Linked DNA regions of Astyanax mexicanus. The protein of the gene in region 2 purifies or fractionates together with the protein of the main gene of each other region. This does not show direct contact. Links are inferred from orthologs where the notes say so. Each region holds a gene or a part of one and is shown on either strand. Other genes may lie near its edges.

Region 1 (11,061 bases), on a different chromosome or scaffold from region 2:
CAGCGTTTTTGACTGGCTCCATGTCTAGGTTACCTTCTGCTTAAGATCTGCCATCGGTTATTAGCCCTGCTCCGATAATGTTGCATTTTGTCTGTTCTCCATGAATCTAATCAGAAATAATTACATCTTTCTGACTTTTTCCTTTTTACTGACTGCCCACCTGTCCGGCCCGACATTTACGTTTTTGGAAGTCAAGTTTTTCTGTCACCAACTACAGATCAGTTTTTGCCACCTGCTTTAGACAAGTTGTTCAACTCTTCACTACTGATTACATTGAAGTTTATATGAACTCCACCTAGGAAATATCTATCTGCTTCTACAGCTGGAGTTTATTTGTATAGCGCTTTTTACAACTGATTTCTCAAATCAGCTTTACAGAAATGTTATCGCAGGATGGAGAATCAGGCAAAACATACAACACAGAACCTTCAGCAAGCAACAGAGGTAAGGAAACATTTCTTTAGAGCTGGAAGAGAAAAAAACACTCAGAGGAACCAAGGCTTGCATATAAGGGTGGGACCATCCTACCACTGGTCAAACAACTTTAAAGTGAATGTTAAATGTCATTATACATCCACACAGATCTAATATTTCCAGGTGAATAGCCACACCAGCAGTGGAAGCAGTTACAAAAAAAAAAAGAGTTCATACAAACTTGGATGTAATCTGTAGTGGAGAATGAGATGATCTGTGTTGGGTGACAGTCAATAACTCAGAGGAAGCAGAACAATGGAATTTGTTTTGGAATATTCACCTGAATATGGGTCAATGACGCGACGCCTACATTTGGTGTCCAACTAAATTTTTTTTTTATTAAAAAATGGTTTAAAAGCATAAAAAGTTGTTATAGATATGTAGTCTCTCTCCCACATTTGTACTTACTTTTACTTATCAAAAATAATTAGTTAATCACAAAGTTTTGGTTATTTAAAGTGTCAAAATATCATGTGGTGCTTGTCACTTCTTGTGCTTTTATATTTAGTTGATGACATATACACATAAAGTACTATATTTTAGTACTTTTTTGGAAAATATTTTAATGCAATTTAAGTAATTGTGAGTCAAAATTACAGATAATGTTTAATCTTTGTAAAATATAATAAATAAATTATAAAATAAATAAATAAACCAAGCATGTCTTTTAACTTTTATGTATTTCTTTACAACTGTTAATCTATTTTATCAGATGCCGCTGTCAAGCAAGTAAAAACCACTCGCCATAGGCAGCGTGTTAATTCTAATCCTGCAGCAATTAGACTTGTGTGAGATTCTGGCCAAAAAATCAGAGTCAACTATTACTTACTATTGAGAGCGTTCAGAAATATGATGTAATGATTCCAGGCAAATTAACGATTGTTAGAGGCATCTTAAAGATTCACCAGGTTTTGTCTTCGGATGCTGCACAAATTAGTTATAGGGAGGTGAAGAGCTGGGCAACATGGCCCCAGAAATTTTTTTAAAATTTTAAAAACAAAAAATAAAACTACAAATGATAAAGAAATGGTTAAAAACAAGTTTTTATTTATTTTGTTTTTACTTAAATTTCCCCTTAATGGTTAAAGTGCAACCATAAACAAGCAAAAAAAACTATTCTAACAATTGAGAACATCTAGTAACTTTTAGAAAGTTTTTTCCAACATAGTTTAGGTACTGACACAATGCACCCTCAAACCTGGTTTATTCAATTCTAAAATTAACTGTTCCTAACAAAGCCATAATATTCGCTGCACTTACAACACATCATAACACTTATGTTTTACACATATTACAGTGTGATGAGAATTTTGTTAATCAAAAACAAAAAAAAACTTTATGAAACATTGGTGTTTATGACAAATCTTTGATATTTTAATTGAATCTGCTTTAAATCAGGGCTCAGAGTTGTCCAGCGGGCTAAGCGCTGCCATTATGATCAGGAGATTGCCAGTTCGAATCCCAGTCATGCAGCTTGCCATCAGCTGCTGGAGCCATGAGAGAGTAAAATTGGCCTTGCTCTCTCTGGGTGGGTACAGTAGATGGTCCTCTTTCCCCTCATCACTCCTAGACTGCGTCTGTGAGCTGATGTATCAGAACTGAGTCGCTGCGCTTTCCTCCGAGCGTTAGCGCTGTGATGCTCCATCAGCAGCAGCTCAAAAAGAGGTGGAGTCTGACTTCACATGTGAGAAGGCATGTGCTAGTCTTTACCCTCCTGGTGTTGGGGCATCACTAGTAATAGGGGAAGTCTGAATAAATGAGTTGGGTAATTGGTCATGTAAATTAGGGAGAAATTGGGAAAAAAATAGAAAACAATTCTGGTTTTGTATGGAATTCTATTTTTGTATTTATTTATTTTGTTGAATTTATTGTTTATTGATCTCATTAAATAGTTAAATAGTAATGATACGATACTTTATGTCATTTGGAGCGACCACTCATCATGTGGTGCAACCTATAATAACAGTAACTACTAAATTTTAAATAAAGTATCAATTTTCTGTTGCTGAAATATTAACTATTGATACTGTATGCTGAAGTTAATGGTATTTTAGAAAACATTTTAACAGTTTTATTGGATTAACAGAAAATTACCCTATTAACTACATTAAAGCCAGTGATTGTGACACTAAAAAACAAAATTGAGATCCTTATTTACAAAAACTAAAAAATAATGCAAATACTTTATTAATAGACACTTTATATTAGTGGGAATTTGTAAACTAAAAATGAAGTATATTATGGCAATGTATTAATTTTAACATAAATCACGGTCGCACCACATGACATTTTGTAAGGCCAAGGCCAATTCTTCTAAATGAAAATACACTAAAATAACTCAATCTGTTTGTGTTCACAGCATTTTAATTGCAACAGATACAAAATTTTTTTGTATTTTAAAATTGGCATGTTGAAAATCCTTTGACCCATATATTAAACCTGTGTATAATTACTTAATTTTTAAGATTGCTATATGTATTGTAAAAAGCGATATATAAATAAATTTGATTTGACTTTAGTAAAGTGCAATAATATATAATGTGCTGCCCAACCCATCCTGACTTCCTCTGTCTGAGAACTGGGTCAAGGGCAGATAACTCCTATTTCTCCCTCTTTGCCTCCAGAGATATTTCATCAAGTAGAACAGCACACGTCTTAGAGATAGGAAAGAATTTGGGATCACACACCAGGAACAATGCATCTCCTAAATTTTCCAAGTCTTAATGTTTGCCAGTTTAAACATCATGTAAGGACACATGTGCACTGAAATGTCTGTGGTATGGGTTAGGTAATTTACTGAAATGAATGGCTGATGTGAGGGTGTGGTGATACAGTAATATTTTTACAGTATTTAAATATTGGTCTTTTATACATGTGCAAAGTTCTCAGTGTCTCTGTTTAAATGTGGAGCTAGTCTGAGCTTGTTCATAAAAAAAATCCAAATGGATTGGCTAAACGCGATGTATTTGATCATGCTGGAGGTAAAAGTTGGTGGGCTATCTGACAAAAGTTGGTACTTGTTATTATGTTTTACTACCCCACACGTTCAGTTCCCCTTTTAGGAAGAGATTGGACAACAGGTAGCGTTTTTCGTCCAACATGAAACGGCCACCTTCTTCGGGCCCCCAATACTGAACCATTTGGAGCATTTCCACCAAAAAAAATAGGCTCTGGAACCTGAAAAGTTAAGTTTGCAGACGGAACCAAAGAATATTTTCAGCTTAAACCCTGACAAAATATGTGGGCGTATCTACATATGCAGGAGCCATTGTGCAAAGACCTCTGCTGATGAAGTGGTCTGTGACGTATCCTCTCACCCACTAAAACTGGCGCAAACATGGGCTGGTTCACTGAAAAGCACCAAGGCTCTTATAAGCTTAAACAGAACCAGTTATTGTGGTCGAAAAAAAGTGACATTCAGGTGTGCAGAAATCTACAGGTGAGGTAAAGCATGCGTTGGAACAGGAGCCACGCCTACATGAAGAGAGATGGAGGGCATGGCAGGATTAATTGATGTATTAGCCAACTAACAAAATAATCATTAGCTGCAGCTCTAAAACGGGCCTTTGCAAGTCTGCATCGGACGGCTTATATAGATAGGTGCAGTAACTAACTGTGTTCCAAAAAGGGAGCCTGAAAGTGATGAACGTGTTCATCTAAATGTGCCACAGCTCCTTACTCTGGGCGGAGGAGCACAGCCACGGTCCCTGCTTTACTACAGACTCCGCCCACAAACCACATTACGTCATCGCTCTTTTTGCTCGCCCTGGATTTACAACCAGATCTCAAACTGAATCTCAGGAGTGGTTCATCGGTCACGTGGCAGCGCATTTTCTGTTGATATGAGCAGCAAACCAATATACCTTACACGCCTAACACTACACCACTAACAGCACAGTTACTGTAGCACAGGGAGGGAGCGCATGTTACAAAGAAACTCAAACAAAAACACAGTACAGGCCAAACCTTCTCACACACACACCAGACAAATACGCGACACACGAAACAGCATGAACATACAGCTGTACATTATTATACTTTCACTAATACGCCAACAACCCGCAGCACCAGCCCTGGGTTCTGACTCTACTGTTACCGCTGCTCCTCACACATTCCTTCAGTCCTGTTGACTCTTTAAAATAAGAACATAAATTAATGTAAAAGTTACCCTCAGCTCATCTCGCTCCGCTTCCCAGCGGTATTTCTCCGCTTGAAAGCGCCCCCACTCATACTGGATGAAGTGTAAAATCCCGGGCAGCGACAGGCCCGCCTCCCCGTCCTGCTGTTCCCGTGGCTGGGAGGACCCAGGCATGGCCCCGGCCGCCGCTGATGGAGCCGCGGCGGTGGGCGCTGCAGACGGCGGACCGAGCACAGTCTTCGGCCCGTTGGGATTTCGCCCAGCTCCGCTACCCGCAGTATTTTGATTCGTCCCCCCGCCGAATCTTTCCGCCTCCATTACAGCGTGTCGCCAAATCACGGAGAAACTGGAGTGAGAAAAGGCTCGAGGTCCCCGTTCCTCGCGCGCTCAAACGGAGCCGTTTCCTATTTTCCTTCGCGACACGGACAAAACCGAACACACAGCCCGAGCCTGCCAAATACTGATCCCATGCACACCGCCGCGCCCTCCCCCCTCACTCCATTATTCCTTGCTGTGGTTAAGCTCTCGAGCGCACCCTCGGGACGCTTCCTGCTATATTGTGATATCCGCCGAGCTTCCTGCGCTTACTACCCACAAAACACTGAGCACGAGACTCTGCTGGGCCCGCACCCGCACCCGCGCCCCGCACCGCCCGCGCGCTCCGCATGCTGAAACAATGACCGGCGCACCGGTGCAGATTCAGCTCAGAGCCTAAAGCTACTCTGGATTTAGATGTGCACTGTGTGACTGATCGACTGTTGCGGAATACAGAGAATCTGAACGGCCATGTGTGGCCGTGATAGACCTGTAAGATCGAGCTAAATGTTTGGTCTAAAGGATAGACACAGTGACCATTATTTGTGTCAATGTACAACCAGAAACAGGTAAGACAGTGTTCTTTTTTTCAATCGCTACTTGTTTGTTGTTACAGCATATACATTACAATCGGGTTTTTTTGTTTATTTAAAGGGCGATCTAATGCGTTTATGCCTTTCTTTGTGTGTCTTACAGTCTCTGTGGTGCAAAAGATTGGATGAGCAAAGGCAGAGAGATAGGATGTCATAATCCACCACCCGCCTACTCTGAAAACTTTTGTTTCTCTTGTACAACTACCCCGGAGTCAATGGGTCAATTCATTTTTTTGTTTATTATTAATGATATTATGCATCTAAATACAACTCACAAATTCCTCACCACGTTTTTGTTTGTTCCTGACATGTTTAATATGAGAAAAACACTAGCAAAAGACCACTCTGGTCTTCACGTTTGTGTGTACGTCACATAGTATAATTCTAGTTTTCATTGTATATTATATAAGTGTAAAACCTGTATAGTGAAAATGAGAATCAGTTTCTGTCAGGCTCTGCTAACAGGAGCCATTGTGCTGAACTTGTTAATACTGTATTTTGTATCCCGGGCACAGCAGCAGATGATTGAGAAGCGCATGCAGGGAAAAGGCTCAAAGAAAGTCTCTCTATCTGCGTCTGGCCTAGGAGCTGCTGGTGGGCTGGTAGTGGGAAACATAGCAGAAGCCAACAAGGTAGGAGGTGAAGTAGGTCTGCGAAGTCCTCGTATGACCATCCTGCTTCGGGAGTTTGAAGACTTTGAGAATTATGTCGCTGAATCTGCACGCTCCTTCTTGCACCAGAGGCCAGAGCTGCCATTCCTGGTTGTGGCTGACACCCTGCCTTACCCTCCTCTGGCTCTGCCTGAAAATGCCCGTTTGCTGGTGCTGTCTCCGAGTCCAGACCAGCCTCCTCAAGCACACCGTCCAGAATTTTATGTACAGTCAGAATTTGTACTGCTAGTGCCTGACGGTGTGGAGCTGGATCACGGGCGGCAGCTTGAGAGGCTAATTCGAGAGCTGGAGGGTGAGGGAGGTGGGCCAGTACGGCTGATTGCAGCCCCGGTGCTGACTCGTGCTGCGGTCCAGTGTCTTCACCTGCAGGTGAGCCTAAAAGAGTGGACAGCAACATACTCCCTTGGGGCACTGGGGAGTAGTGGCAGTGTGTGTACTGCTTTGCATGGTGATGCTGTAGTCCTCATTCGTACTGAAGACTTTTTTAACCTGTCTGACCCCTTAGCACGCCCCCTGCTATCTTCACTGTTTATACAGACTGCACTGCGAGGCTGGAAGGTAAAGCTGTTGGAGGGTCCATCATTCTCTGCAAGCCACCGGCCTCTTTTCACTTCGGCACACAACCAATGGAAGGCGGACAGCCGGCTTAAAGAGGCTGCCAACCAACTGATGCGGAGCTTCGGTCTTAAACGCTTAGTGTGGCCTGATGGAAGGGAACAGTGGTTCGGCTGTTCAAAGGAGACAGCACGATGTTTCGGCACGGTGCGTGACGACACACCCGCGTATCTTTACCTGGAGCGCTGGACCCCACCTTGTTGCCTGCGTGCTCTCAGAGAAACAACAAAGTATGTCATTAACATCTTAGACAGTTCTGGTGTGCGCTATTGGTTGGAAGGGGGCAGTTTGTTAGGAGCAGCCAGACATCAAGATATCATCCCCTGGGACTATGATGTCGATTTGGGTATCTATCTGGAGGATGTGTCAAATTGTGAGTACCTGAAGAACCTAGACTCAGGGTCACTGGTGGATGCTAACGGGTATGTGTGGGAGCGGGCAGTGGAGGGAGACTTCTACCGCATCCAGTATAGTGAGGCTAACCACTTGCATGTGGATCTTTGGCCTTTTTACCCACGGAATGGAGTCATGACCAAGGACACTTGGACTGATCACAAGCAGGATGTAGAATTCCCTGAGCACTTCTTGCAGCCACTGGTTCCCATGACATTTGTGGGCATTACTGCTTATGGACCCAACAACCACCGTGCCTTCCTGGAGCTAAAGTTTGGGCAGGGGGTCATTGAGAACCCACAGTATCCTAACCCTGCTAAAAAAAGACTGGATAGGAGTCGAATGTGAGGTTGTGATTTATTTGTGGTGTTAAACTTTGAACTAAAGAGAACAGTTTAAAATCTTAAGGTTGTCAAACGTCTGAGTTTATCTGTTTTATACTGTTGTCATGCTTAAGGATTTGAAATACACAAACATTCCCACAAAAAAATCAAAAACGATCTCCAAAATGTTTGTTTTAATATGAAAGTTTAGAAAATCAGTACGTACTATGTGACAGGAGAAGGCTTTGGTTAAATGACGGATTACAAAATACTTGCTTTAGTGGATATAAACATCATATGAGTAGTAAGCTGTGCTCATGCTACTAATTTTAGTTTATTAAGTTATGCTAAAAGTGTCGCACATTTTGTGTTTTTGTAATTAATACATGACCATTGTCTTTTAATAGCTTAATTTTTCAATAGTTCAGTAATTGGTATATTATGAACTTATTTGGGATTTTATAATAGGAAATTATTAAAAGTATTAGATAAAGAGAGCTGACAAATGTATTTCAATTTCAAAAAAGAGCAAACATTTAGTGGGGAAATTGTATTATTTTGACGTGAATAATGTAGATATTGCAATTTATTTGTCTGACCACAAGGTGGTGGCATGCTTCTGTTGTTTTACTGACTGGGGTCAGGGGTACTATAATGTACTGTTATTTTAAACATTAACTTTCTGCAAAATATGCATGCTATATATATATACACACAGAGCTATAGCTTACACCTAACCTGCCATTAACTTGCATTTAATTAAATATCTGTTTACTTCTAATCATAAACCTGGTCCTAACTGTTACTTAACCTCAACCAGAAACAACCTAACCCTTACCCTGCTCCTAAACATAGTCCAGGCTTGAAACCTGACCCTGTTTTGCCAGTTGTGTTATAAATATCTGGATAATAAATATCTTTTTAAAACAATTTTAATGTAAGTAAAAAAAAATGCAAGTTTATTTCATTCAAGTTTATATGCATTTTACCTCTTGGAAGACAAAAGCTAAATTAAGCCCTTTGACATTGGGAGAAGAGTGTTTCACACTCCTCTATGCAGAAATCTTTCAGCTGTGTGCTTTTACCTTCATCTATCTTTTGGCAGATGGTCTCTTACATTTTCCTGAAGCACCCTCTAAAAATAAATCAAATGATCATGGATCCTATGATTGAAAAATATACCAGGTTAAATTAAGTGTATTATATTTTTTATAAGAATGTAATTAGAATGTATACAAGGCTGAAGTGTGCTGTTCAAATGATGTGAGATCAAACTGGAGCTGCAAGTAAATCTTCCTTGCTGGAACTTTAATTAGGATTTGATTCTGTGTCAGATCAGGCAAAAATCATGCCTATAAAAAGACTTCCTAAACATCCTAATTGCTACTGTGTAATAATTTTAGTAATTTTATCACTGTTGGGTTTTCTTTGTAAGTTTGCCGTCATTTTTATAACGCAATGTATCATTCAGTTGTTTACCAAGTGACTTATGATATGGTGGTCTTTGCCTGAAGCCAGTGTCATAGATAAATCTCCAGTAGAGCAATGATACATTCAGACCCACACAGAAATAGTTCACTGAAAATAGAAGCATATTTTGCAATAGCTGTCCTATTCCCTTGACTTACACATCACTGTAAACAGGTCCACTGTGCTGGAAAGGAAACCCTACAAGAAAGGACTGGGGGCAAATGAATGACATTTGTTTTTTTTACATGCAAAAATATTTTTGCCTTACTGAAAGATCCCCAATAAACCCCACAGGTCTGTATAAATGTAAGTAATGTATGTTGTATATAAGTAAGTAATGTATGCTCATATTATAGCTATTAACCTCTTGTGTGAGTGGACCAATCGAGACTTTATCTTTGAATCGCCACATTTATTCTAACCAAAGTCATCCCATAAAGCTTCTGACTATAAAACCAAAAGAAAAGTTAAACTTCTAGTAATTTTCTTTTTTTGTTTAGTTAGGTGAGTTAGATTCTTAAATCCCAGTTAATTATTTTGTTTGTTATTTTGGCTTAGTCCATTCTGACATCTTTTGAGTAATTTTTGAGATACGTGTAAAATGTAAATGCGGACCAAATAGTAAATAAAACAACTTTGATTATTTAAAACATTGCCTTGTTTTTGTTTTGTTTTTTTATGTTATGGTCTTGGTGAACCCCGGACTGTTCATAAAATTGAGCGGCTAATAAAACGAATAGCAGAGCTGAATCCGTCAGAACCAGTTAACAAAGCACATAATTAAATATAAAATACTTTATTTAAACCCAGTAACAAGTACATTCTGCATAGTCTGTAAGATAAATCTCTTTCATTTCAGCCACAACAAAACCATCAGCATTTACATAAATCACTGGCATAATGTTCTCACCACAAAATATTGGAATGATTAGCCTCCAACTGCATAACTCTACTGCAGATATATACACTCTTGACACTTCAGATATTTCCAACTGAGCACAGAAAAGTTGATCATGTATGACACTTCATAAAGGCAAACTAAAGTCAACATAAAAACGTGAAAGACAGACAAATAGACTGAAAGCATACCATACACTCAATATCTTGATATACACTGATTAACTACTGATTAACAACATTAAAACCACATCCTTTTCTAAACTCACTGATCATATATTGCACTTTGTAGTTTTAAAATAACAGATTGTAGTTCTGTATCGGTTCTGTTCTCTGTATACTTTATTATTGTGCTCTTTTCACCCTGTTCTTTAATACTCAGAACCCCACAGGAGAGAAAACCACCACAGAGCAGCTGTTATTATTATTTGGGTGGTGGGTCATTATTCTCAGCACTGCAGTGATTAGCACTGATTAGCATGGTGGTGGTGTATGAGGTGTTAGTGTGTGTTGTTCTGGTACAGTGAGTGGATCAGATACAGCAGTGCTGCTGGAGTTTTTAAACACTGTGTTTAATCTCTCACTCTCCTCCACTCTGTTACACACTCCTACCTACAGCTGCTCCACCCTGTAGATAAAGTAACGTCAGAGACAGAAGCTCTGAATCTGTTGCTGCACAGTTTACAGTGTTCATCAAACTCTAGTTCTTCATCAGTGGTAGGACTACAGTGTGTCATTATATAACTACAGCTTCCTCCTGTATGATCAGAAGAGTTGAAATAAGGGCTAAATCAAAATGAGTTAAATGTTCTGGCTGATCAGTGAACGTAGTTGACTACAGAACATTGTTGGACATATATTTGCTAATACAAATGTATGAAAACAGCACTTCATAATGTATAAATAAACAGAACATGCAGGTTGAATAAATAATCCAGTCAAAACCAAGGTAATATTTTCACTTTGCAATCTGTAATATTATTGAGCCTGATAATACACAGTCTGTGCTAAAGGAGACTTCTTCCTTCCACTTCTGGGCTTATTGCAGCATATTTTTTTTTAGGTTTAAAAAAAAAGTCTGTGTTTATAACAGTAGCACTGAGATATTTCTGACCAAACCTGAGGATATAGTCACTTATAAACATATATAATCACAAATAAGCATGATTAAT
Region 2 (11,873 bases):
TGAACAGGTCTGACATAAATACAGCCCAAGGCTTCACTGCAGTCCAGAGTCCACTGAATAGTATCATATTTAGGAAATAATAAGTAGGAAATTCCCCGCTGATAACAGAGCCTAATGTGATATGACTACACTAAATGCATTTATTCAGTGTCACCACTCCCTCCTCTGCAGGCCTTTCATTCTTGAATTCAGACCAAAGCTCAGAATGTTGTTGTGTTATACTGATCAGCAAAAAAAAAGCCAAAAATATAATAAAAAGGACCAATATTTATTACATTTTTAATACCAATATCCAGCAAGTTGTTATAAAAGTATCCATTTTTCAGAGTGTTAACCTGTGGGTAGCTATTTTTTGTAACCCACCGCTATGTTAACCAGATGAAAACCACACTTTCACTAATGAAACACAAAGATTGTTTAGTGTTAGTGTATTATAATCTAGGTCAAACCATGGCTCATTTCATTCTAAATCGTATTATTCAGTAATTACAAGAAAGCCAAGGAAACATGACTATGTTTAGGATAAAATGTACTTCTTAGGCTCATGCAACACAACATGAATTAGTAGGTGAATTGGTCATGAGTAGTGAGGTGTTATCTTGTAAAAGACTTTGAACACAGGCCAACATGCTCATGGCATGGCCATTTGAATTGTAACAGTTTGAGCGACTGTTAGCAAGTGCATCCTGAGCATCCTGATCATCCTGATAGCAAGTGCTAGAAGGATGAGACGTTCCATATCCAATGTGCAGGAATTTAAAATTCTTATATATTTACATTTAACATTACAATTGTATTTATTTGTGCATTCTTCTACTATTATAAAAGTAGGCTCATCTGAGCTTTGTTCAGAATGGTTTACTCATGAATCATTGCATGTAGCATTAGCATGTAGCATTAGCTATACAGTGAACTGTCTAGAAATGGTGGAACCATCAGTTAGATGTTTTAAGAAGTTTATTTTGTGTACAGCAAGTAAAGATCTGGATCCAGATGTGTTGACCAGGATTAGACTTCAACAACTGTTTCTTTCAAATCACTAATACTAAAAAATACCCAATACCTCTGTGTAACATTAATAGCAGTACGCAAGTTACTTTAAAAGACATCATACAGACAGACAGATACGGAAACAGAAATTTCCCCGGAATTGCAACAACCATAATTTGACGATTTGCAACCACTTACAATCTGCCAAAAAACACAGAGACATTCTGCTGGAGTTTCTAAGAGTGCACGGTGTACCCAGTAACCACAAGAGAAACAAACTAAAATCAGCTGATGAGAAGCTGTTCAGGAGCTGGAATGCTTGGCTGCAGTGCAGCATGCACAAGCCTAAACAAAATCAACAGTGGCCAAAATACTAAGACATTAAAGAGCCAATACCAAATAAAAAATAACTTTCACTTTTTTTTAAGTTTGATGTTGTACATGGATGTTGTTAGATAATTAAAATTGTACAGTTTAATATTTTCAACACCGAAGTGCTTCAGTATTAAATGTGGCTCAAGACAATTTGTCCTGCCAATCAGAAAAAGCTCATTTACACAAGTCGGTCTTAAAGTCACAAGAAGTCACTTGGTTAAACCGCAGACGCTTGTTTTGCTCAGTGTTAAATATTACAGAGCCTTCTTTCTGTATCCTGTGTTTATTTTATCTGCATTAAAAACAAATTTCTAAAAGCATACGGATATGGGCGGAACAGAATAGCTTTCCTAGAAGTAGTGGTATACTATCGCCATGTTTGTTCTCATCTGAAACTTTAGACTTTTAACCCTCTAGGGAATGTATTGCTTAACATTGATACCAATGCAAAACTTAAAATGTACATGTTCATTTTTGTATGTTAAGGGGCTATAATGTGCATTGTCACTGACCAATGAAAAACAAGTAGTTTGCTACATAGTTTGAACTGTCCTTCACTCTGCGTCACATTTCTTGATGAATGGACTGATATATATTCTCCAAAATGACCTGAATTACAGTCTTTACACTCTTTACAGATACTTCCATTGAAGGTTAAGTTGCAGCCTTGGAGATACATGTCTTTTATTAGACAGCAATGATATGAGTCTTCCAAGGTAGCTAGTAAGGTTGTAAAATGGCCATGTGATGTTGATTTAAGGGTGTTTTTGGTACACAAACTTTAGCCAATACCATTATAAATAAATCATTTTTTAACAAAAGAAAGGAATTCTTACATATTCAGACACACAGATCCCTCATGAGCCATGGATTAGGCCTTTTTCATGAATCCATAAATGCATGAATCTAGAGGCCTGCTAACCCTAAGGCAAGTGTTCAGGCCCAGCCATAATAAAACTCAAAGCACAAGCACTAAGGCCAAGTGGCGCTCCTGCACAGCTAGATTAACTAACAGGCAAAAAACATGATAGCTTTACAGGCGAAAAAGAGCGCAGAAACCTGGTTAGGTTACAGCTGTCACGACCACATCGTGCATCACAATTCAGACAACTGTAGTATTCTTTATTATTATCATTACTGTATTTTTTTTTATACTAACTACTGCCATTCTTAAGATGTTTGCTTGAGAGACAGCCATCAGTCACTCTCAGGTGTGGCATGCAGGTATCTATCTATCTATCTATCTATCTATCTATCTATCTATCTATCTAGATAGATAGATAGATAGATAGATAGATAGATAGATAGATAGATAGATAGATAGATAGATAGATAGATAGATAGATAGATAGATAGATAGATGAAAATCTCACACACCGAGACACATCGCCCTAGCTAAAAGTTAACCGACTGTTAACTAATAACTAGCTAGTGAACTGCTTGCTGGCTGCCTAGTGATGCTGAGAGGCATGGGCTAGTAATAGGATTCGTATGAATGGGGCTTAGATAAGTATCTTGACTTGGATAGACATACCATAGAAGTAGTTCAATCAAAAATTTAAATCATTTAAAAAGAAAAAAAAGAAAGAAAGAAAGAAAGATTCTTACAACGAGACACACAGATATATGCGCCCTGTGTTAGGCCTGATAACCCTGAGGCAAGTGTTCAGGCCCAGCCATAATAAAAACTCAATAGAAAACAAGCACTGAGGAAAAGTGGCGCTCGTACACACCTAGCGTTAACTAACATGCTTCAATAACCTATTAAGTCAATTTTACTGGCGAAAAAGAGGCAGAAACCTGTTTAGGTTATAGTCATTTAACTGTCACGTTCATGTCTAGGTTAATTATTCGCTTATTCTGAATGTGTTGGCTTGAGAGATTCAGCCAGCAGTCACTCTCAGGTGTTTCGTACAGGTGTGGCGTGCAGGTAGTTCGTTAGCTAGCTTAGCTAACGTTACTAGATATAGCTAAAAGTTAACCGACTGTTAGTTAGCTGTATCACTTAAGATAAGTAACGTTATATAACTAATTATAGTTAGAGAAGTGATTAGCGTTAACTTACCCTCAGTGCGGCCAAGTCGATTTCGTCCAAACTCCGTGTGGGCGCGTTTTCAGACATGGTTCAGCCAAGTTTGTAAAGTCCGTGTCCAGTACAAAAACACGTAGATTAACTAGTTAGATTACTAGCTAGATGGTGAGTGATATATTCCCACAAGCTGAAGATCCTCTTCGTGACTTCTCCCCTTGATTCAGCGTTGAGGCGAAAACGGGAGAGGCGGTTTAGAAAAACTTAAGACGTCCCATCTGGCTCGGCTTGACAGCTACAGTGGACGATATTCAGCTCGCTAGTTAACTATCGCTAGGTCAGATTAACCAGTTGGTTAGCTTGCTAGCTAGTTATAAGGCTCGACAGAAATAGTTAGCTTAGCTAACCTGGTTAACTACAGCTCTGTATTCTGTTCGCTAGTTAAGTTAACTGTTTGTTGGGTTTGTTTTGAAGTCTCTGAAGGCCAGCTGATGAGACTGTTCCCCGAGCTGTCAAACAGAGCTAGCTTGATTAGTTTACTAGCTAGTTACGCGATAAAAAGCTAATTTTAGTTAGCAAGTTTGCTATCCAGCGCTGTTAATCCTCCTCAGACTGCGCTGCATTACACTAACTACTAATACATTAGCTCCAACGGTCACTCCTCGCTGGAGATCCGATCACTGCTCCTGTGCTGCGCTCCTCCTCACCACTCATTTTGGCAAGCCCCCCCGCTCTGCTGCACCTCACCAGATAAAAAAAAACAGGCACAGAGAAAAAAGAGCAGAAGGGAAAAAGGCCGATATGTGCAGCGGCAGGCGTGTTATAGTCTCTAAACTCCTCCAAATCCCCCTTTTTATTCCTCTCTCTCAGCGCCGAGTCTGAGGCGCAGGCTAAAGCTAGCGCTAGCCCAACGGACGAACCGAGCTACAGCTAATAAACAACACGGCGCTGCATCAGCCGAACCGCCTCGCGTCTGTCCTGCCCACGCAACACACACTCAGGCTTATTAAACACACACACCTAAACACTTAGGATCCAACATTTCCCTCAAAAAAAAACGATAACCTGCATTAATCGTTTAGCCCAGTCTGCAGCGCTGAAATGTTCACTGTGTTCTCCTCAAACAACACAAACTTTCACTCCGTCCAGCCCAGTTAAAAAACGTCAAACGGTGTTTTCAAACGGGGTTTTCAACTTGAACCCTTCCTCTCCAGAAAACCAGGCTCGTCTGAGCACGAAGCGTGTCGTTTAAAACATGTAGCGCTAGCTAACCCTCGCTAACTAGGCGGATTTAAATGCGTCCAGCTCCTAACTTCAGCTAGATAAATCTCTGTAGGTGAAGGAGGATCAGGCGCAGTTCTGGCGCCTCCACAAAAGCAGCAACTTCTCCCTCTCTCTCCCTGGTCGTGTTTTGGTACGGTCCTGTTTTTCCAGCGCTATGACGTCTCTCCTCTGCAAGAACACACAACACTCTTTCACTCCTTCCTTCTCTTTTTTCTGCTTTCCTTTTATTCCCCACCTCTTTCTCTCTCTCTCAGCCGGGAGAAGGAAGCGCTACGGTACCAGAACAGGGCCAAACTACCTGCTGTGGCTGGAAACTGTAGCAGACAGACACACAGGTGGGTGAAATGAGAACGTAGAGCCTTATAGATACAATAATAAATTGTTAGCTCAGTCTAACAATTAATTAAGTTTAATAAATAATTTCATCAGTTTTATAAATTGTTTTCTCAGTTTGATAAACAATTCAACCAGTTTAATACATTGTTAGCTCAGTTTAACAATGAATTCCCTCAGTTTGATAAAGCATTTCATTTAGTTTAACAAATCATTTCCTCAAGTTGATAAAACATTCCTTCTGTTTAACAAATCATTCCCTCAGTTTCATAAATTGTTCCCTTAGTTTAATAAATTGTTCCCTCAGATTGACAAACAATTCCTTCAGTTACTTAAATTGTTCACTCAGTTTAAAAAAAAAAACATTCGTTCATCTAAAATAAATGTTCCCCCAGTTTGATAAACAATTCCTTCAGTTTAAAATTGTGTTACCTCAGTTTAATAAATAGTTTTTTTCAGTTTAATAAACCATTCCTTCAATTTAACAAATCATTCCCTCAGTTTAAGAAACCATTTACTCATTTTAATAAATTGTTTCCCTTTCCCTTCCCTTAGCTTAATGAATTGGTCCCTCCATTTTACAAACTCTTTTATTGATTTAATAACTTTTTTTTATTATTATTTTAATAAACAATTCTCTGTATACACACACAAATATAATATAATTTGTAGCTTGACACTTAAAGTGGTTATAATATTCAGACACAGAAACACTCAAACATTTTAACTTTTCAAGTCTTTATTTATGACTGACATTGTGAGATTGAGTATGTGAATAACCCACTTTAGTTATCACTTAATAACAAGTAGTGTTCTTTAAACAATTAGAAGAACTACACAGAAGAAAAAAAAACAACAAAAGCATTGACTAAAAGTAGTACTTCATACAATTGTACAAATCATGTAAACTGTTATAGGTGCATATATATTTGAACTTTGTGTGGAAAAGTTTTAGATTAGAAAAAAACTTGTCTGAAAGTTGTCTGAAAATAAATGAGGTTGTAATAAAAGCAAAAGATGGGAACACTAAATACTGAAAAATGAAAGTTTTTTTTCCGTTTTAGTATTGTATACATAGTATATTGACGGTCAGACTGTGTTGTAATTTTATATAGTGTATATCCAATGATCAAATATAAAATATAAAAAAGTTCATATTTAATATTACAATTACAGCACTAAGCCTTCCTATTCAAACTGGTAAACAATACCCTGTACAGAAACTACAAATAATCTGAACATGAGCATACTAAATGGTTCTCAAAAAAGTCTCAAACCAACAGATTGCCTAATGTGGCTGGAATGTAATAGAGCTTGTGTGTGTGTGTGTGTGAGTGTGTGTGTTTTGCCTGCTAGCTAAAAACAGGTGCATGCAGGTGAATGCTTATTCCCCCAAAAAAAGAAAAAGAAAAGCTCAGCTGTGAAGTGGCTTCACCCTTAAGGACCCATAATAGCAGTACAGCATTACATAAGCAGTTTAAAGTTGTTTTTAAAAGCTGTGTTTGCTGCTGTTAACAGAGGCACTGGCACAGCTGCATATGCTGTTTTTTTCCAACAGCGAGTGTGTTTACATGTACTAAATAATCTCAGCAAAATCTTTTTAGCAATAATTTTACACAATCATAATCTGTTTGTCTCTAAAACAATATATTAGTCATTTTTGCAGCCGAATATATGAACAAAACCACTGGGGCATCTGCTCATTCACTGTTTATTCTGAAATTAAAAGCAATTGGTACAATTTACAGTAGCTTAATGCATTTATTTGGACAAATATATGGTATATACAGTCATATATCCAGTGTGGGGCAAAATGCATTGATATTGGTGATAGCACAAATGGACTAAAATCAGCTGTATATCTATTTAAACTATTATTAAAAGTTTTGTGTCAGTGAACTTGCATATTTTTAATGTCAACATTTAAACATTTAATCATTCGTCTTATTATTTGTAGAGCTTCTACATTGATCATTGCTTAGACATATTTAAGTTCTTTTAGCTTAGTGTTTTTTTCAATAGTAGTGCAGTTGTTTAGATTGGGTTAATTTAATTATTTTAAAGCTTTCTATACATTACCTATAAGTGGTTTATAATTATAAAATCTATGGCAATTAGGCTACAATTTACATACAATTTAATAAATTCAAAGCATGTAACTACTAAACTGTGAAACAGATACCACCATGAAGAACCTGAGTATTGCCTGGGCAGCCTCGCTTTTAATTGATACATTTTATTACAGCCAAACAAGGTTAAAACAGTCCATCTTGAATTTATGTTGAATTTAACAGTCATTTAACATTTAACAGAATCACTTGCCAGAAAAATATTAACTGCAAATTCCAATTTGCATATAAACTCATGGACTAAAAACATCCTGGACTGCTGCTCAGGCAGATATGTAAATAATTACAGCTGTGGTCAGTTTAGACATTGGGCTTTGCCACAAGAGGTGATTTCAGCAGGATAATGCTGGCCCACACACAGTAGAGACTTTTAAGGAATGTCTCTACCAGACTGCAACACTTTGTGCGTTTATGGAAGCAGCTGGGATGCCAGCTTCAGCAACAGGCTAATGTTCTGCAGGATGCTACATGCGTTCTGTATGCCTCCATGCTCAACCATATCTCATCCTATGTTCAAGTTAGAGGCAGTCCAAAAGGGTACCTAAAGCTTCCTCCTACAGTTTTTCTCAATAAACTAATAATCCTTTTACTCTTATATTTTATTCACATATATGCAATTCTGGAACAAAACTAATTTAATTTAAATTAATTTCTGAATCAGTTTCCCTGATTTTGCTATTTATAGATATATGTTATAGTAAAATAAACATTGTTGCTTTATTTTATAAACTACAAACAACATTTCTCCCAAATTCCAAATAAAAATACTGTTATTTAGAGCATTTATTTGCAGAAAATGAGAAATGGCTGAAATAACAAAAAAAGATGTAGAACTTTCAGACCTCAAATAATGGAAAGAAAATACATTCATATTCATAAAGTTTTAAGAGTTCAGAAATCAATATTTGGTGGAATAACTGTGGTTTATTGTGATTTATTCACAATTATCATGCATCTTTGCATGTTCTCCTCCACCAGTCTTGCACACTACTTTTGGATAACTTTATGCCACTCCTGGTGCAAAAAGTCAAGCAGTTCAGCTTGGTTTGATGGCTTGTGATCATCCACCTTCCTCTTGATTATATTCCAGATGTTTTCAACTTGGTAAAATCAAAGAAACTCATCATTTTTAGGTGGTCTCTTATTTATTTATTTCTTGGTGTGTTATTTTGTGTCAGTAAGTGTAATTCTGTAATTTGTCAGTTGTTCGGTAGATAAATAAATCTGCTTTGTGAACAGTTCTGCACATGTGCAGTATACATGTTCTGAATAACCCAATTAATTGGACAAGAGCCAGGTGTCTAATTTGCTTTTTCATGACCACTTGAGTCATGTCGTGTTGCTGCCGAAATCTGATAGGCCTGATGATAATGATCATTTGTCTACATGTAAACACGCTCTCTGTTTCCCTATCAGCACCCCTACACCCCTCTCCCACCGACTAAAAACGGAAAGTGGAACCTTCTGGACCACTGACAAAAGTATTACATAACCATAAATACTTGGTTGCCATGGAGACATCGGAAGGGGGAGGAGCACAATGATTAATGCACACCACCACCCCCTCCCAAAAAAAATAAACATCCAAAATCTCCTCTTCTAATGGCACCCTCCTCAATCCCTTTTTTCTCAATATTTCACATTCACTCCCTCAAAAAAAAACAGCCCCGCCCCCAACCTGAACCCCTGAGCCCAATATTCCCCACTTTTTACTCCCCATCATCACCATCACCACCATCACCTCATCCTCCTCTCACCGCTGCATTTGATAACATTTTATTACATTCTCTTTCCTCCTATTTCTTCTCTTTCTCCCAAAGCCGCTGTTTATCTAGACTTCCTCTCCATCTCTCTCGTTTCCTCTCTCTCTCTTTCTTTTTCACTCGCTTTCTCGCGGCAGCCGCGACCCCGTCAGCTCTTTATACCCGTCACCATAACAACCACAAATGTTCTGACAGATTTGCTGGCACTGCACAGAGAGGTGCAGCACTAGAGAGAGAGAGAGAGAGAAAGAGAATGAGAGAGAGAGAGAGAGCGATAGAGGGAGAATAAGAGATATAGGGAAAGAGGCAGAGAAAGCAATGCCATCCACCTACGCGCCTTTGCAATAATAAACGTACGTTCTGTTCGTCTCATTGGAGACACTCAACTGTGCTCACCTCAATCCTCTCAAAAACACACACACACACACACACACACACACGCGCGCACACAGACACTTCACACCATCCACCATTTTACAAAACTACAGCAAACTGAGACTAGTGCAGATTAGCTTGCTAACTTCTAACTGAGCCATTTTAAAAGGCCCTCACAGCTGCAAGTCCTTCGTCTAAAAGCACCATGATAACACACACTTCCTTTGTGAAGTGCCGGATGGCCTCCATCCAACTAAAGGTGTGAAAATGCTTTACAATGCATTCAATCTGAAGGTGCTGATTCAAATGCATAGGCTTTGGAATGTTTGTCTTGAAAAATATTTAGTGAAGTATGTGCTTGTTTTCTATGGTAAAAACAAACTCTCCGGCTATTTTTTAAGTAAAAATCTCTTTAAAAAATAGCGTCATCTACTTGTCAATCATAACATTGATTTTTTGATATACTGAGTGAATTTGCAAAAGATTCATAATCATAACGTGATTAAAATCATGATAGTGTAGTGGATAATCAGAACCAAAAGTTCGGTTCTGCAACAACTCATTTTATGAAGACTATGAATTAAATAGAATTGTGTCATTGCAACATCTGATGTGCAAGATCTCATGACGTATAAATGACATTATAATTTACTGAATAGTGTAGTAAAGAATCATAATGAAATAAAATCCTAATTTGGCAAAATCTTCCCATTATGAACTGAATCATTTCCTAAAGCACTTGAATTGTGCCACAGTTCCATTTTGTGATATAATGATAATTCTGGTTTCCAAAAGAACCAGAATTAATGTTAATCTAAATAGATAAATGTGAGATTTTGTGACACATCAAACTGTGTTTGGAAGAATCAAAATCATATTCTGGTGAAAAGATGCTGAATTCATTATGTATTGAATAATTTCTTAAAGATTTTCAAACTAATCGAATTGTGTCAGTGTAACATCTAAGATCTAGGTATCTAAGTGACCTATTATATTTGAGTTACCAAAATCTTAGATCTCATGACAAACAGAATAATTTCTATAAGAGTAAATTAATCAAATCATAGTGTCCTTAAACCCTAAAGGATTTCCTAAAGAATTCCAATCCTGATCTAGAACTGAACTGTTGCCTAAAGAATCTGAACTGAACCTTGGTAAAATTTCATGCTGCACCAAATGGTTCTCTAAAGAGTCATAATAGTAATTTAATCTAATGTAATCTGACGTAAGATCAGAGATTTACATTCCTAGCTTTCTAGAGCAGATAGGAAATGGCCGAGTACATGCTGTAGCACACTTCCATGTGGTTAGACTAATCTCTCTCCAACCACTAACCCATACACTCTATCACATTAGCACAGGCGTTTTGGTCCGTTATCACACTGAACCCACCGCTTCCAGTTCACTCAGTAGAGGGCAGATAATGAGTGTTTATGGGTTCAGATTGTTTTCTTTAATCCGTGTCTGCTTATCACACCATAACCTCCCTGGTCCAGGCCCCACTACGTCCACACTTCCAGAGGGACCATTCTCTCTTTGGTGCCGGGCGGCGGGAGCAAGATTTCCTCGCACAAAAAGTGCAGGGGGAAGTGGACAAGAATGCCCCTGATGGCCTGAAGCTCACGGCTGGCCTTCTCTGGGTCCATCTGGGCGAGGTTGGGGACGCTCACATGCTCCTGCAGCTCACGCATGTTACGGATCGAGTCCAGCGGAAGACACCTGAACACCTGCCGGAAAGAAGCACAGCACAGAATAAATGATTAAAATGATAGTTCAGGAAAAAAGTCTACGTTAGATTAAATGTTTTCTCCTTACTGAAAACTAAATTGGGCAGAAAGAAAATACATAATTGATGCACAACAAAAATAAAAAAAAAAATGCAGCATTTACATTATAGTATTAAGGATGCAGAGATATATGTATATGGACAGATATATATATACAGCACTTCTTATTTTACCAAATTATTTTATATAATTTATTTTAATCAATTTTTTTGATTTTATCAAATTAAAAACCTCTGAAATATAATCAAGTGGGAGATGGATGATCACAAGCCATCAAACCAAGCTGAACTGCTTGAATTTTTGCACCAGGAGTGGCATAAAGTTATCCAAAAGCAGTGTGTAAGACTGGTGGAGGAAAAAATGCCAAGATGCATGAAAACTGTGATTTAAAAAAAAAACTAATATTGATTTCTTAACTCTTAAAACTTTATGAATATTAACTTGTTTTCTTTGCATTATTTGAGGTCTGAAAGCTCTGCATCTTTTTTGTTATTTCTCATTTTCTGCAAATAAATGCTCTAAAGGACAGTATTTTTATTTGGAATTTGGGAGACATGTTGTCCGTAGTTTATAGAATAAAAACAACAATGATTATTTTGATCAAACATATACCTCTAAATACCAAAATCAGAGAAACTGATTCTGAAACTGTTGTGGACTCTTCTGTTGTGGACTTCTAATTTGAAAAGTATTAAAAGAGAGTTTATCCTGCTTTTAGCCTGCTTTCCAGGGAAGGTTTATATCAAATTTTGAAGCATTGCTGTTAAGCTGCTGAGGATTTGATTGCATTTTGCAGTGAGAGAGTGAC

What was found.
Region 1: the proteins of mink1 (region 2) and strn4 purify together in Homo sapiens (affinity purification with mass spectrometry; 3 studies listed by BioGRID and IntAct, with this or other methods). This does not show direct contact. The link is inferred for Astyanax mexicanus from reciprocal best matches to the Homo sapiens genes MINK1 and STRN4.

Annotation. Positions count from the first base shown.
Region 1 is NC_064425.1:35,549,015-35,560,075, forward strand, and holds the start of strn4 (striatin-4), read right to left. Parts: upstream 5,123-11,061; 5' UTR 4,931-5,122; coding exon 4,643-4,930; intron 1-4,642. Other genes in the region: fukutin-related protein, read left to right, coding at 5,435-5,496, 5,624-5,739, 6,106-7,547. UniProt on the Homo sapiens protein: Calmodulin-binding scaffolding protein which is the center of the striatin-interacting phosphatase and kinase (STRIPAK) complexes.
Region 2 is NC_064408.1:25,112,619-25,124,491, forward strand, and holds the start of mink1 (misshapen-like kinase 1), read right to left. Parts: upstream 4,892-11,873; 5' UTR 3,488-4,891; coding exon 3,431-3,487; intron 1-3,430. Other genes in the region: pld2 (phospholipase D2), read right to left, coding at 10,781-11,005. UniProt on the Homo sapiens protein: Serine/threonine kinase which acts as a negative regulator of Ras-related Rap2-mediated signal transduction to control neuronal structure and AMPA receptor trafficking.